3 linked regions of the Tamandua tetradactyla genome follow. The protein of the gene in region 1 purifies or fractionates together with the protein of each later gene. This does not show direct contact. Links are inferred from orthologs where the notes say so. Each region holds a gene or a part of one and is shown in the gene's direction. Other genes may lie near its edges.

The links.
Region 2: the proteins of ASF1B (region 1) and UBN1 purify together in Homo sapiens (affinity purification with mass spectrometry; 3 studies listed by BioGRID and IntAct, counting the BioPlex papers as one, with this or other methods). This does not show direct contact. The link is inferred for Tamandua tetradactyla from reciprocal best matches to the Homo sapiens genes ASF1B and UBN1.
Region 3: the proteins of ASF1B (region 1) and CABIN1 purify together in Homo sapiens (affinity purification with mass spectrometry; 3 studies listed by BioGRID and IntAct, counting the BioPlex papers as one, with this or other methods). This does not show direct contact. The link is inferred for Tamandua tetradactyla from reciprocal best matches to the Homo sapiens genes ASF1B and CABIN1.

Annotation. Positions count from the first base shown.
Region 1 is NC_135337.1:88,728,670-88,732,416, forward strand, and holds the start of ASF1B (histone chaperone ASF1B), read left to right. Parts: upstream 1-810; 5' UTR 811-937; coding exon 938-1,046; intron 1,047-1,066; exon of another isoform or gene 1,067-1,804; intron 1,805-3,747. UniProt on the Homo sapiens protein: Histone chaperone that facilitates histone deposition and histone exchange and removal during nucleosome assembly and disassembly. Cooperates with chromatin assembly factor 1 (CAF-1) to promote replication-dependent chromatin assembly.
Region 2 is NC_135349.1:52,237,587-52,241,333, reverse strand, and holds the start of UBN1 (ubinuclein-1), read left to right. Parts: upstream 1-1,036; 5' UTR 1,037-1,129; exon of another isoform or gene 1,130-1,160; intron 1,161-1,191; exon of another isoform or gene 1,192-1,495; intron 1,496-3,747. Other genes in the region: GLYR1 (cytokine-like nuclear factor N-PAC), read right to left, coding at 68-105. UniProt on the Homo sapiens protein: Acts as a novel regulator of senescence. Involved in the formation of senescence-associated heterochromatin foci (SAHF), which represses expression of proliferation-promoting genes. Binds to proliferation-promoting genes.
Region 3 is NC_135331.1:25,631,692-25,635,438, reverse strand, and holds the start of CABIN1 (calcineurin-binding protein cabin-1), read left to right. Parts: upstream 1-1,148; 5' UTR 1,149-1,219; intron 1,220-1,228; exon of another isoform or gene 1,229-1,606; intron 1,607-3,747. UniProt on the Homo sapiens protein: May be required for replication-independent chromatin assembly. May serve as a negative regulator of T-cell receptor (TCR) signaling via inhibition of calcineurin. Inhibition of activated calcineurin is dependent on both PKC and calcium signals.

The DNA of each region.
Region 1 (3,747 bases):
TCTGAGCACCGTCTATTAGAAGCCGCTCCCCGGGCGGCGGGCCCCGAAGGGGCGACAACGGGATTCAAGCCGGGCGCCGCTCCGCCTCCCCCGGGGGCCTGTCAGCGTTCACCATATTCACCACGGAACCCTCGGCCGCTGGGCCTGAGGAGCCTGGAGCTCCTCACAGAGGCTCCCGGCAACGCTCACCCGCAGACGAAGCCGAGGTGGCCGCGCGCCTCCTCGTCTCCCCTCACGACCGACGCAACCGACTTCCGGTCCTATCTCGCCAATCACGAGACGAGCTTTCTCCTCCCGCCTACCGCAGTCAAGCCAACCAATCATCTCTTAGAAAGCAAGCTTTCGTTTTTGTTTTTTTTCTCACCCTCTCCCGTCTGTCAGTCACCACGGAAGCGAGCACCGCCCTTTCCGCTCTCTTCAGCGAGTGTCGCGCGCCCCCGCTTGGCAGTTGGTGGCGATGCCCTCCACGGGCTGCGTGCCCCGGAAGGACGGGGCGACGAGAACGCCCACCACGCCTGTGCTGGAACCCTTGGGATTGGTCAGCGGGAGCCCCGCGCGCTGACTCCGCCCATCTCCGCCCTTAACGTCCGCATCGGAGACGCTGGGGATTGGTTCCCCACTGGGGGGGTTGGGTTAACATCCTCAGGAGCCAAAAGGTGGTCCCGCCCCGCGACGCGCACGCCGGGGAGGGAGTTCCGCTGATTGGTCTAGGGAATCGCAGCGCGCGCCGACTGGAGTTCCAGGATTGGCCGAGGGCGGGCTCGCGCCGCCGGGGAGCGTTAGCGGTGATTGGCCGGAGGGCGGGGCCGGCTATTTGAAGGCGGCGCGCGGATGAAGCGCGCACTTCAGTCGGCTTAAGGAGGTTGAGGAGGTGTCCGTGGGAGGGCTGCGCTCTTGACCCCGGCGGACACGGACGCGGCCCGGCCCCGGCCCGACGATGGCCAAGGTGTCGGTGCTGAATGTGGCGGTGTTGGAGAACCCGAGTCCTTTCCACACCCCATTCCGGTTCGAGATCAGTTTCGAGTGCAGTGAGGCCCTGGCGGACGGTGAGGCTGGGCCTGTGTAGGGCCTCCCCCCCCCCCGGCCGGGCTGACCCGCACTTCCCGTCAAGAGGCCCCCAAGGATCACTCCTTGGTAGACCACCGACGTCCCGGTGAAGAACCCATTCCCCCTACCAACCCCCTCCCGGCCAACCCCAGTCTCCCTGGAGGGAAGCCCCCAAAGCCAACCCCGACGTTCCCGTGGAAATCCCCCACCGCCAGCCCCTACCTCACCCGCCCCGTGGGGACCCCCGACGGCCAAGCCCGACCTCCCCCTGGAGACCTCCCAAGGCCAGCTCTGGCTTCTACTGCCACAGGGTCTGAGCAGGTTAAAGAACAGAGGCTGAGAGGGTCTCTACGTAGAAAATGGGTGGCTCGGAGGACTCCCACAGAAAAAAGACGGTGGTGATAAGGCCTCCACTAGAGGGGCAGTTGTAGACCTTGAAAGGTCTACAAAGACCTTTCAAGAAAAGGGCTGTAAAATTCTAAAACCGAATGGCTAAGGTCACCCAAGAAGCCTTTTAACTAGCTCTCAGGCAAGTGGTGCTTTCAGGAGGAAATTCTCCCCTTAGAGAACTTCTCCGGGTGATTAAACAAAAAGCAGCAGCAGTTGAGGGGGTGAAAAATCTGTAAACCCGGGAGGCGGGGTCTACTAAGGAGCACCACTGGGTGGCTGGTGGGCACTTTGCCTATAAAGCTTGCTGCTGGGATTTGCTTGTAGCTGATGCTGTTTGAGATGCATTTGCCCTGGGATGAGCCAGTAGGTGAGTCTCCCTGGATTTTCTTCTTTTCAAATTAAGGAGTCTATGTGTGACTAGAGAATCGGCTAAGTTAAATCCCTTTTGGAGCAAGGCAGGGTGTAAATAAATAAATAAAGTGTAGAATGACACTGAGGAAGATTTCATTTTAAAGCCAGGAGGAGCTATAAGGAGCTAGCGGTTTAAGGGATTCGCCAGTTTAAGGGATTCGCCTTCCCAGATGGCAGGATATCAGGTTTCATTCAGCCGATTGTGCTCCTGGAATTAAAAATGATTCTGAGGTCCTTATCCAATACTCTAATTCCTAGGAAGCTCCTACCTATTGTTTTTTTTCTAATCTGCATATGGAATCAGGGCAGGAAAGGCCAAAGTCAGCAAGCTGATTTTAAATTTCTTAGTAGAGGGACATGGAATGACTCCTCTGAAGTGACAGCAAAGGCAGTTTGTGGGAGTGTTGGGACCATGGTGCGTCTCTGAGTTCTGAGTGCAGGGCTCTTCCTCTTTGCTCTTATCCCAGTGGTAAGATTAGAGGTGACACATAAACATGAGCAGCCGGGGAATTTATTGCCAAATCATGATTCTCAAAACAGAGACGGGGGCACTGGTATAATTACAGCCAGATGATAGAGCTTTTGTTCAGAGAAGCTCAGATTGGAAATCCTGTTCTGGCCTGGAAACCCAGACCCTCGTTCCACCCTAGGGCCGTCGGTGACTTAGACCTGCAAACCTGCTTTCTGCCTCTTCCTAGCCTTCTTCCCACAAAGCACAGAATCCGTTTCCTGCCTCCCAAACAGAAGCCCTCTCTGAAATCCTGGAGAAATCTGTCAGTCTTGTTACCTCTCAGTACCAGCAAACTGAAAATCCGATGAGCTGTACAACTCCTAGTTGGTTAGCTGTCCCATTTCCTAAGGGCTCCAGACTCCTTCTGCTGTCTTTCTCAGCATTTGGAAGTGGACGCTTCCAAGGTGTGGGTCCCCATTTAATACATTAGATGTGTTCCCTGCACCCTCTTGAGAAATTCAGCGGACACTGGTTGAATAAGTCATAGAAACCAGATGTTCTGACCCAGAGCTGTGGCAAGGCCAAGGCTCATCTCTGTAGCTATGAACAAAGACAAAAGGTAAATAGGAAAAGGCCTGCTAGAGGTGCTAGATTAAAACAAAAACAACTGGGGAACAGACACTCCAGCTAGTTGAGCTATAATGATTTTTTATGCATCTTTAGCCATATTATTGGTTTTAGTTTTGTTTTCAGGGATAACAGAGGTCCATCTTAGGTGTGGCTTAGACCGTAACGTTAGGGTATAAAGACACCGTGATACATGCACTCAGATTACCCTTGAAGTTGCCCATAAGGTTAGGTACCCAGTGTTGGGGTGGGGGGGCGTAATTGTGCCCTGTAAACTGTAGATGTGGAGGTGTGTGTGACTTTGTCCCACATTTCATTCTATTCTATATTCAGAATTGAAATCGTTAAAGTACATCTCTGCTTGAAACCCTTTTCAACAAATTCTAGTTTGTAGGCCCTGCTTCAGTCATCATGTCGTTGGTAGATTCTATCAGATTCTCTAACTTTGGCCCTCAGTTAATTCCTCAGTTTCTCTGGACAGCGTTGAGGGAGCCTCAGTGGGCTCACCTCATGGTATGTTTTCTCTCCTACTCAACACCAATCCAGTCTTTATGCAGGTTTTGCTGACAATTATTGACTTCAGTCAGACAACATCGAGCGCCTGTTGTATACATTGGGTCCAGCTCTGTTTTGGTCTCATTGGCAAATGGACATATATAGGATCCCAGTGGTTATGGGGCAGGGCAGAAGGAAATATACCAAAGTTAAGAGTTGGGTTTGGGTAAGTGAGATCAGGGCTAGCTTGTTTTTTTGTTCTTCCCCCAAATTTGATTCTGGTGGTGTCACTGATTCCTACCAAAAATAAGTTAATAGAGTTCACT
Region 2 (3,747 bases), on another chromosome or scaffold:
ACTGTGAACCCCGTACCCAGAGAGCAGCACCCCAGCACCTCGCTTGCCCCCGGCCGCCCGGACTCACCATACCAAGTCGCCGAGCCGCAGACTCACAGCCGCCATCTTACCACCCAACCACCACCGCCGCACAGGCCGCCGGGAACATCAGGTCGCCTCGACACCGCCCATTGGAGTGAGGAGGACCACGTGATGAGGGCCGGCTGTCATCGGCCACGCCGCTGCTCTGACGTCACTGCGCCCTCTATCTCTCATTAGCCGGTCGAGCGGCACGTGATTCGGGCGCCGCGGTCTCCGCTAGCCGAAGACCCTAGACTCCCGGCTCCTTCCCCGCCTTCCCCCCCGCCCCACCTCCTCGGCTCGTGACAACGAAGCGCCCGCGGTCTGAGGCAGCGGCGGAAGCGACGACGTGCGGCTGGCCGAGCGCGTGAGGGAGCCGGCCTTGAGGCCCGCCCCGCCTCCCGGGGCCCTGGACTCCAGCCCCCTCCCCCCTTCGGCGCTTCCGTTTCGGCCGTTAGTTCCGCGCGGGCCCCGGGGCCATTCCCGAGCCTGAGGCGCCGGCCGGCCTCGTCGCTGCACCCGGGAGCTCCCCTGACGGACCTCGGCGCGGCCTGGAAACCGGAGCCAAGGGTCCCGCGACCGGTGGGCTCTGCTTGGCCTCAGCCCGGGTCCCCCCTCGTCTCCGCGCCCCGAGCTCCCGGGGGCTCCGAACGCCGCGCTTGTTTGCGGGCGAGGGGGTCCGTCCCGCCGCCGTCCGGGTGCCTTGGCGCGCTCTCGCGGCCGACTTTCGCGCGGCCAGCGGTTCGGGTGCGGGTCCGGCGCAGCAAGTTCTCCCGGGGCGCCCGCTGGCAGCCTGCTCCGCCGCCCCCCGAGTTGCTCCGCGGACCTCGAGGCGGCACTTCTGCGCTTTCTTCTTGGCCGGCTCGCGGCACGGCCGACGCGGCTGTCCCGGGCGCGCGTGGACCCGGTCATGGGCCGCAGCGCCGGCCGGCCGCCCGCCGGGAGCCATGCCTCGGAAGCCGGCCGCTAGCCGCGCCGCCGCTTGGGGCCCCTGGCCGGCATGAGGACAGCCGCGGGGGGACGCGTGCGGCCCGCGGGGCCGTAGCCTGCGCCGGCGCGGGGGACGAAGGTGCGTGTCCGTGTACGGACCGGACGCTCACGTAAGCCTCGTTGTAGTTTGACACTTTGGAAGAAGTTGGGATCAGGCGGTTGTGCCCACAGGGAGTCAGATGCCAAGCGTGGTGTCGACGCATGAAAGTTAAACCGTTAAAGGGAGACTCTCAGTGGCAGTTCGGCACAGCGCCTGCCCAAACTCCAGGGTACCTGGTAGAAACAAATAGAATTTTCGAAAAGCTCCCAGTCCCGGTTTCAGACTCCGAGGAGTGATTTTAGCGCTTGATTTAGAACCGGAGTTTTCCGGAGTTAGCGATTTCCTGGAAAAGGTGCGAGGTCCACGCGCGCATTTCGCGTATGTGTTTTGTCATATCCAGACTTGGTAAGTGGGTTTTTATTTTAGCTTGCTGAGTTGGCCTCAACGCCGGGTTTCTTAGATCAGTTTCTCTGAAGTACCGTGAGCCAGTTTCAGGAAGTGTCATTTATTGTTTTGTTTTAAAGGTAAACTGGTTATTTAAAGCGTATTTAGGATTCCAGGAAACAGTCTGATAAAATTAAACGCATTCGTAATTTACAAAGTCTTATAATTTGAAGAATTGAAGGATATTTAATAACTTGATAAAAGAGATAGATGCCTTTTAAATTACTGTCATGCAGGCTCTAGAAGCATTGCCATTAAGGTTATAATCATGGCTAAGAATATTTGTCTTATGTTAGCCTGGAAGTTTTAGCCAATGCAATAAGGCATGAAACAAAAAATAAGAAATATAATTTTTCAGGAAGGGGAAGACAAACTACTCATTTCCCGGGATGATAGAATTGCATATTTTGAAGAAATGAATAGTCGAGGAAAACCAGTAAAATTAGAGTTAAGAAAAACTAACTGCAAAATCGACAAAGTTCAGTTTTCTGGTTAATGGGTTCTGTTTACAATGACAACAACGAAAAGCTCCTGGGAATAATCTGAGATACAAAAGGAGGCGTGAGGAAATAGATGAAAGTGCCATTCTTGTTTAATTTCAGTTGAGGTTTTTTAAGAGGGATGATTTTGCAGATAGAATTTTACTCATTTTGTATTATTTATAAATAACAGGACTTTTTAAATAAAAATACTTGATCTTTGACAAAAGTTCAAGTAAGAAACCAGTTTAACATATCAAATTTCCCTAAATAACTCTTTTTACAAAGTTCAATTTTCTTTAGCATATTACTCTGTAATTAAAATTTTAGATGCTTGATTCTTGTAGATACTTCAGACGTCTAAAAAAGTAAACTTAGAAACCTAACATAAATGTTTCTGAGGACTTAAGCAATTGTCATTAAGTCTAATAAACTTATAAATGGAAATCTGGTTCTTTTTGAAAGAAAGTACAGGGCAGGCAATGGTGGTATAGTGGCAGAATTTTTGCCTGGCATGCTGGAGGAGACCTGATTCCCGGTGCCTGCCCACTCAAAAAAAAAAGTGCAAACACTTTCACACTTAATTATATTTTCTTAAGCATCTCAAATTAAAATTGTAAATCTCACAACACTCATTAATGTCCAGTTCTCTTGAATGTTTCAGATGGCCTAATAAAAAACAATAATACAGTATGATGATTACAAAACTTCACCCAAAATCTAACCCATGAGTCTTAATCTGCTATATCTTTGATTTGCTTTATCCTCTAATTCTGTTTCTATACCATTGGCTTCTCAGGCTTCAACGAAGAAGTGGTTGAAGTTTAGGTGGGTTGAAGTTACGATGTGTAAAACAGACCAAGATAAGGCTACATTTTAAAATCTCTTACTGGACAGGGACACTAGCATTTGCCTGGTTGCCACTCCCGGAATGACCTTCTTGCATCCCATTGATTAACTTGATTCTCTTCTTAGAGTATTTGTCTGCTCTATTAGAAGGGACCTTTAAACTTTTCCTTTCAACTGAGATGTAATTTGACAACCTTGTGAATCAGTATGTCCCAGGTTTTGTGTCATAATGGAAAATAAGTATTGGATATATACAAATGCATATACATATATGGATTTATAAGAGATATATATGAGAAATAGCATCTTCTTGACAACTCTCACTTATGATTCAGTTACAATAAAAACTGACAGCCCCTTTGGGAGAACTCAACAAAATGTTTCTAAAGTTCTGAAATAATAAGTAGGCTGGAGTGGTAGTGGTATTTTTAAAGAGTGATAAGAGCTTTCAGTTCAAGATTTTAAAATATTCCGTATAACTTCAAAACAGTATGGTATTAGTTAAAAAAAATCTTAACTACTACATTCATACAGCAGGATGGATTTCAGTAATAGACCATAAGAAACATGGGATTTTACTAGATGATGTATGCCAAATTGGCAGGGATAAGAGGGATTATTTAGTGATTGATACTGGGAAGAATCAAGTTAGGACCTCACGCCATAGCTTATAGCATAATATATTCCACTTGGGTTAAATAGTTAAATGTGAAAAGTATATAAAAGACTGTGTAGATAAATTCTTATGTGAGATCTGGTTGGAGAAGTACATTTTAAGCATGGAAGAAACAGGAGAAGTCACAAGGGAAAAAAAATTTTGAGGGCATAGAAAGTTTTCAGCTTGCCTCATTCTAAGTAAAATTTAAATAGGGAATAAGCCAGGAA
Region 3 (3,747 bases), on another chromosome or scaffold:
ACTTAAGCCAATTTTGTCAGGTTCTTCCTTTGTAAAATAATGCACAATATGCCAACACTGCTTTGAGACAATACATTCTAAATCAAGTGCCCTATAATGTGCTCTATTATCTACACCCTCAAAACACAGAGATAAGTCAGGCATTTTTCAGAGGCAAGGATTTCTGCTCTGACAGGCAAAAAAAAAAAAAAAAAAAAAAAAAGCGCCTTAGGAAGACTTAGGGGCTTCAAATCAAAGACGATTGGTCTAAGAGACTTATTCCCCCTCCCTGTAAAGTCTCTAAATCCCATGCATTCTCCATTTTAAGAAGTCCATCACCCATACTCAATCCTTGACACTGGGGACCCAACCAGTGGGAACAGAGCTGGGAGTTGAGCTAGCAACTCACCACGGTTACCATCCCCTTCACAAATGCCACCCTAGCCACAGGAGCTATGGATCTTAAGAAAAGATAAAACCTTCCAAACAAAGTGACCCATTTTCACCCATCCGGCCCTCCAAGTACAACAGGCCTTGGTTGGGCATATCATATCTTCAAGTCAACATAAACCCGTCTAAGTGACCTATTCACTAAGGATGTTAAAGTCCAACCCCAAAACCAATAGAAAGGCACCAGAGGTGAAGGAGTTGTCTCTCAAACCCACAGCTCTCCCTTTAATTATCCAACCCGGTTTTCTTTCTTTCTTTCTTTTTTTTTTTTTTGCATATAACCTTGTGTTCATCCCTCTTTACAGCTCCCTATCCTAAGCGGGTGTCTCACTACCCCCCACCCCCACCCTAAATCTATCACCCCCACTATAATCATCGCTGTCATCTGCTTGCTCGCGTGGACTCGCAAGGGCCACGGAACGGGTGAACGCGTCCCCGGGGCTCCCGGACGTGCCCCTCAATTCCCTCGGCCCCCGGAGCCCCTGCCCCAGGTGGTGAGGACGATACACCCCATCATTCACCGACTGCCCCGGGCTGGACACTGAGCTCGGCGCCCCAGGAGCCTTTCGGAACCCGGACCCCGAACTCTACAACTGTAGCGACAAGGCAGCCCGGGGGCGGACACGCGCGCGTTCCCGTCTTCCACGGCCGGGCGGGCGCACGCCGCGTACGACCCCGTTGACTGGCTGGCGCGCCCGGCGCTGAGCCAATGGGAGCGAGCCTTGTTGACAGGCGTGCGGCCGGCGGCGCGGGGGTCCGGGCGATCGGGCCGTTGCCGTGGAGACGCCGGGTGAGTCCCGGGACTGCGGCTGTGGGGGTGGCCCCGGGTTGGGAACGTGGCGCCGCGGGGCCAGGAGGCCGGAGCACGAGCCGGAGGGGTGGACTGCATGGGCTCGAGACCCGTGGGGACGCTGTGTGTGTGTGGGGCGGGTGGGGTCCCTGTGGCAGCCCCGGTGCCGCAGTCGGGGAAGCCAGTTTGGGTCCAGGCCTCCTGGCTGCCGCGGGGGCCTCTTTCTGGCTCTCCACCGCCGCCCTGGGTGCCTAGACCGGCCTCCGGCCTCGGGAGTGGGTCCCAGGGACGACGGCAGGACCCACCATTGAGGCGGCGTCCCGCGGTTGCAAAAGGCTAACCTTTTACTCCGCATCCTTTCGCTTCACTTTGCGGCAGCCCCCCGAGGTGAGTGCTGTTTGTTCATGTCGTTTCCAGGGTTGGAAACAGAGACCGAGGGAGGTGAAGTGACTTTCCAAGGTCACCTAGCCAACCCATGGGCCAGCCTGACTCCAGACTGAAAATCTTGACCGTTTTGCTGCACTGGTTTCCGGGGATGGAGTGGGGGATACCCTGGCTAGCATATTCCTGACGCCCCACTGATGTTGGCACATTGAGTTTGGGGAACCACTTAACTCTTCATGATATTACATCTGAAACTGGAAGGTCGAATTCCATGCAGCTAAGGTTCCTTCTGTTGGGACCCAGAACTGGGTTAGGACTGGAATGGCCTTAGAATTGCACTGGTCGGGGGTCTGCAAAGTTTGCTGTAAAGGACGAGCTAATAAATATTTTAGGCTTTGCAGGCCATAATCTGTTTACTCAATTCTAGCATTCGAAGTAGCCAAAGATAACCCACCCAAAGGAGTGGCTGTGCCCCAGTGCAATTTTATTTATGGGCATGAAAGTGTCAGATCATTTGCATCTGTCATTCACGTGTCTGCCATTTAGAAATGTAAAAGCCATTCTGTGCTGGTGGCTGCACAGGAACAGCTGGTGGGTTAGTTTGCAGACCTCTGGTCTGGTCCAAAGCCTCAAAAGGTAAAAGAAACACATCCAGAGAGGGGCATCTTATGCCAGGTCAGCTAGTCAGCCAGGCAGTGCCCCATGTGGGTTGGAGACCACTCAGCGTTAGGTGCTCCAACTGAAATGTTCTTTATCATGTCTTCTATAAGGCCATTGGGAACCTGCTAGGTTAAACCTGTGAATGTGCTACTCTGCGAAAATGCAGCTGCTGAACTGGAAGTCCAAGAAACGAACAGATAATTCCTTTCTCCTCTCCATTTGGTAGCTGCTGCTTATTAATTAATTAAGTTTTAAAGAGTTCAACTTTTTATTGAACACATGACACAAAGGGTTTAGTCCCAAAGACCAAAGCCCATGTCATCATCAGACTACAACGATTCTTCTTTCTCTGCTTCCATTTTCTTCTCCTCGGCTGGGCTTGCTGGGGAGAGTGGGCAAGAATCCCCGCTGGGGCAGCTTCACTAGCTCCTACGTAGCACACGAGGCTCCCCATACTGATCCTGGTCAGGGCCTTTACAAACAAGCTGGGCCAGAAGGGTTTGCCATTTGCACCCAATATTTATCTTTCGTCCCCTCTGTGATGGTGACCTTGTCGTGGCAGAGGATGGAAGGCTGAGTAGATGCCGGTGGGCCTGGAGGTGGAGCCCGTGGTGCCAGTCCCTGTAGGTGAGGGCCTCACCCCGATGCAGCCTCTGTTTCCTTGGAGAAACTGAGCACGTTAGTGGCTGTTGAGGAAAGGGACTTGCTTTTGGTTTGTAAGCTCCTCTTAGTGGATTTCTGGGGTCCCTGGTGTACATGGTCCGGGCCTCACATTTCTTACAGATGCTCAGTCAATAGTCTCAAATGATTATTTATTTGAAAACTTTTGATTTTCAACTAACTTTTGACTTAAAGAGAAGTTGCAACAATAATACAAGAGTTCCTTTATGTGCTTCACCCTGCTTGCCATAATGCTAACATCTTACATCATCTGGGTACAGTTGTCAAGAACAGGAAACCAACACTGATACACTGTTATTAAAAATGATAGCCCTAATTCAAATTTCAACAGTTTCCCCATTCGTGTTCCTTTTTTTTATTCCTGGATCTTAACCAGTAACCCATGTTGTATTTTGTTATTTCTGTTTCATCTCCTGTCCTCTGAAATGGGTGCTCAGTCTCTTCTTCTCTTTCTTGGCCTTGATGCTTTTAAAGAATACTGATAGTTGTTTTTGTCTAACGTTACCTTGGCTTAGGTTTGTCTGATATTTTCTCTTGAGTAGAATGAGGGTGTGCATTTTTGGACAGAATAACACAAAATGCAATGTTCTGTTCTCGGTGTTTCATCTCAAGGGGTTCATGATGGCAACATGTCTCACTGCTGGAGTTACTTGTTGAAGTTGGTGTCTGCAGGATTTCTGCCTTAGTGGAAATACTTTGGTAGGAAGTAAATTCTGGTTTTCCACAAACTTAAGCCCACTAACTTTAACATTTGGATCTCATGTACACATAAATGTTGTGTATTTATTGCTGTGAAGTTTGCT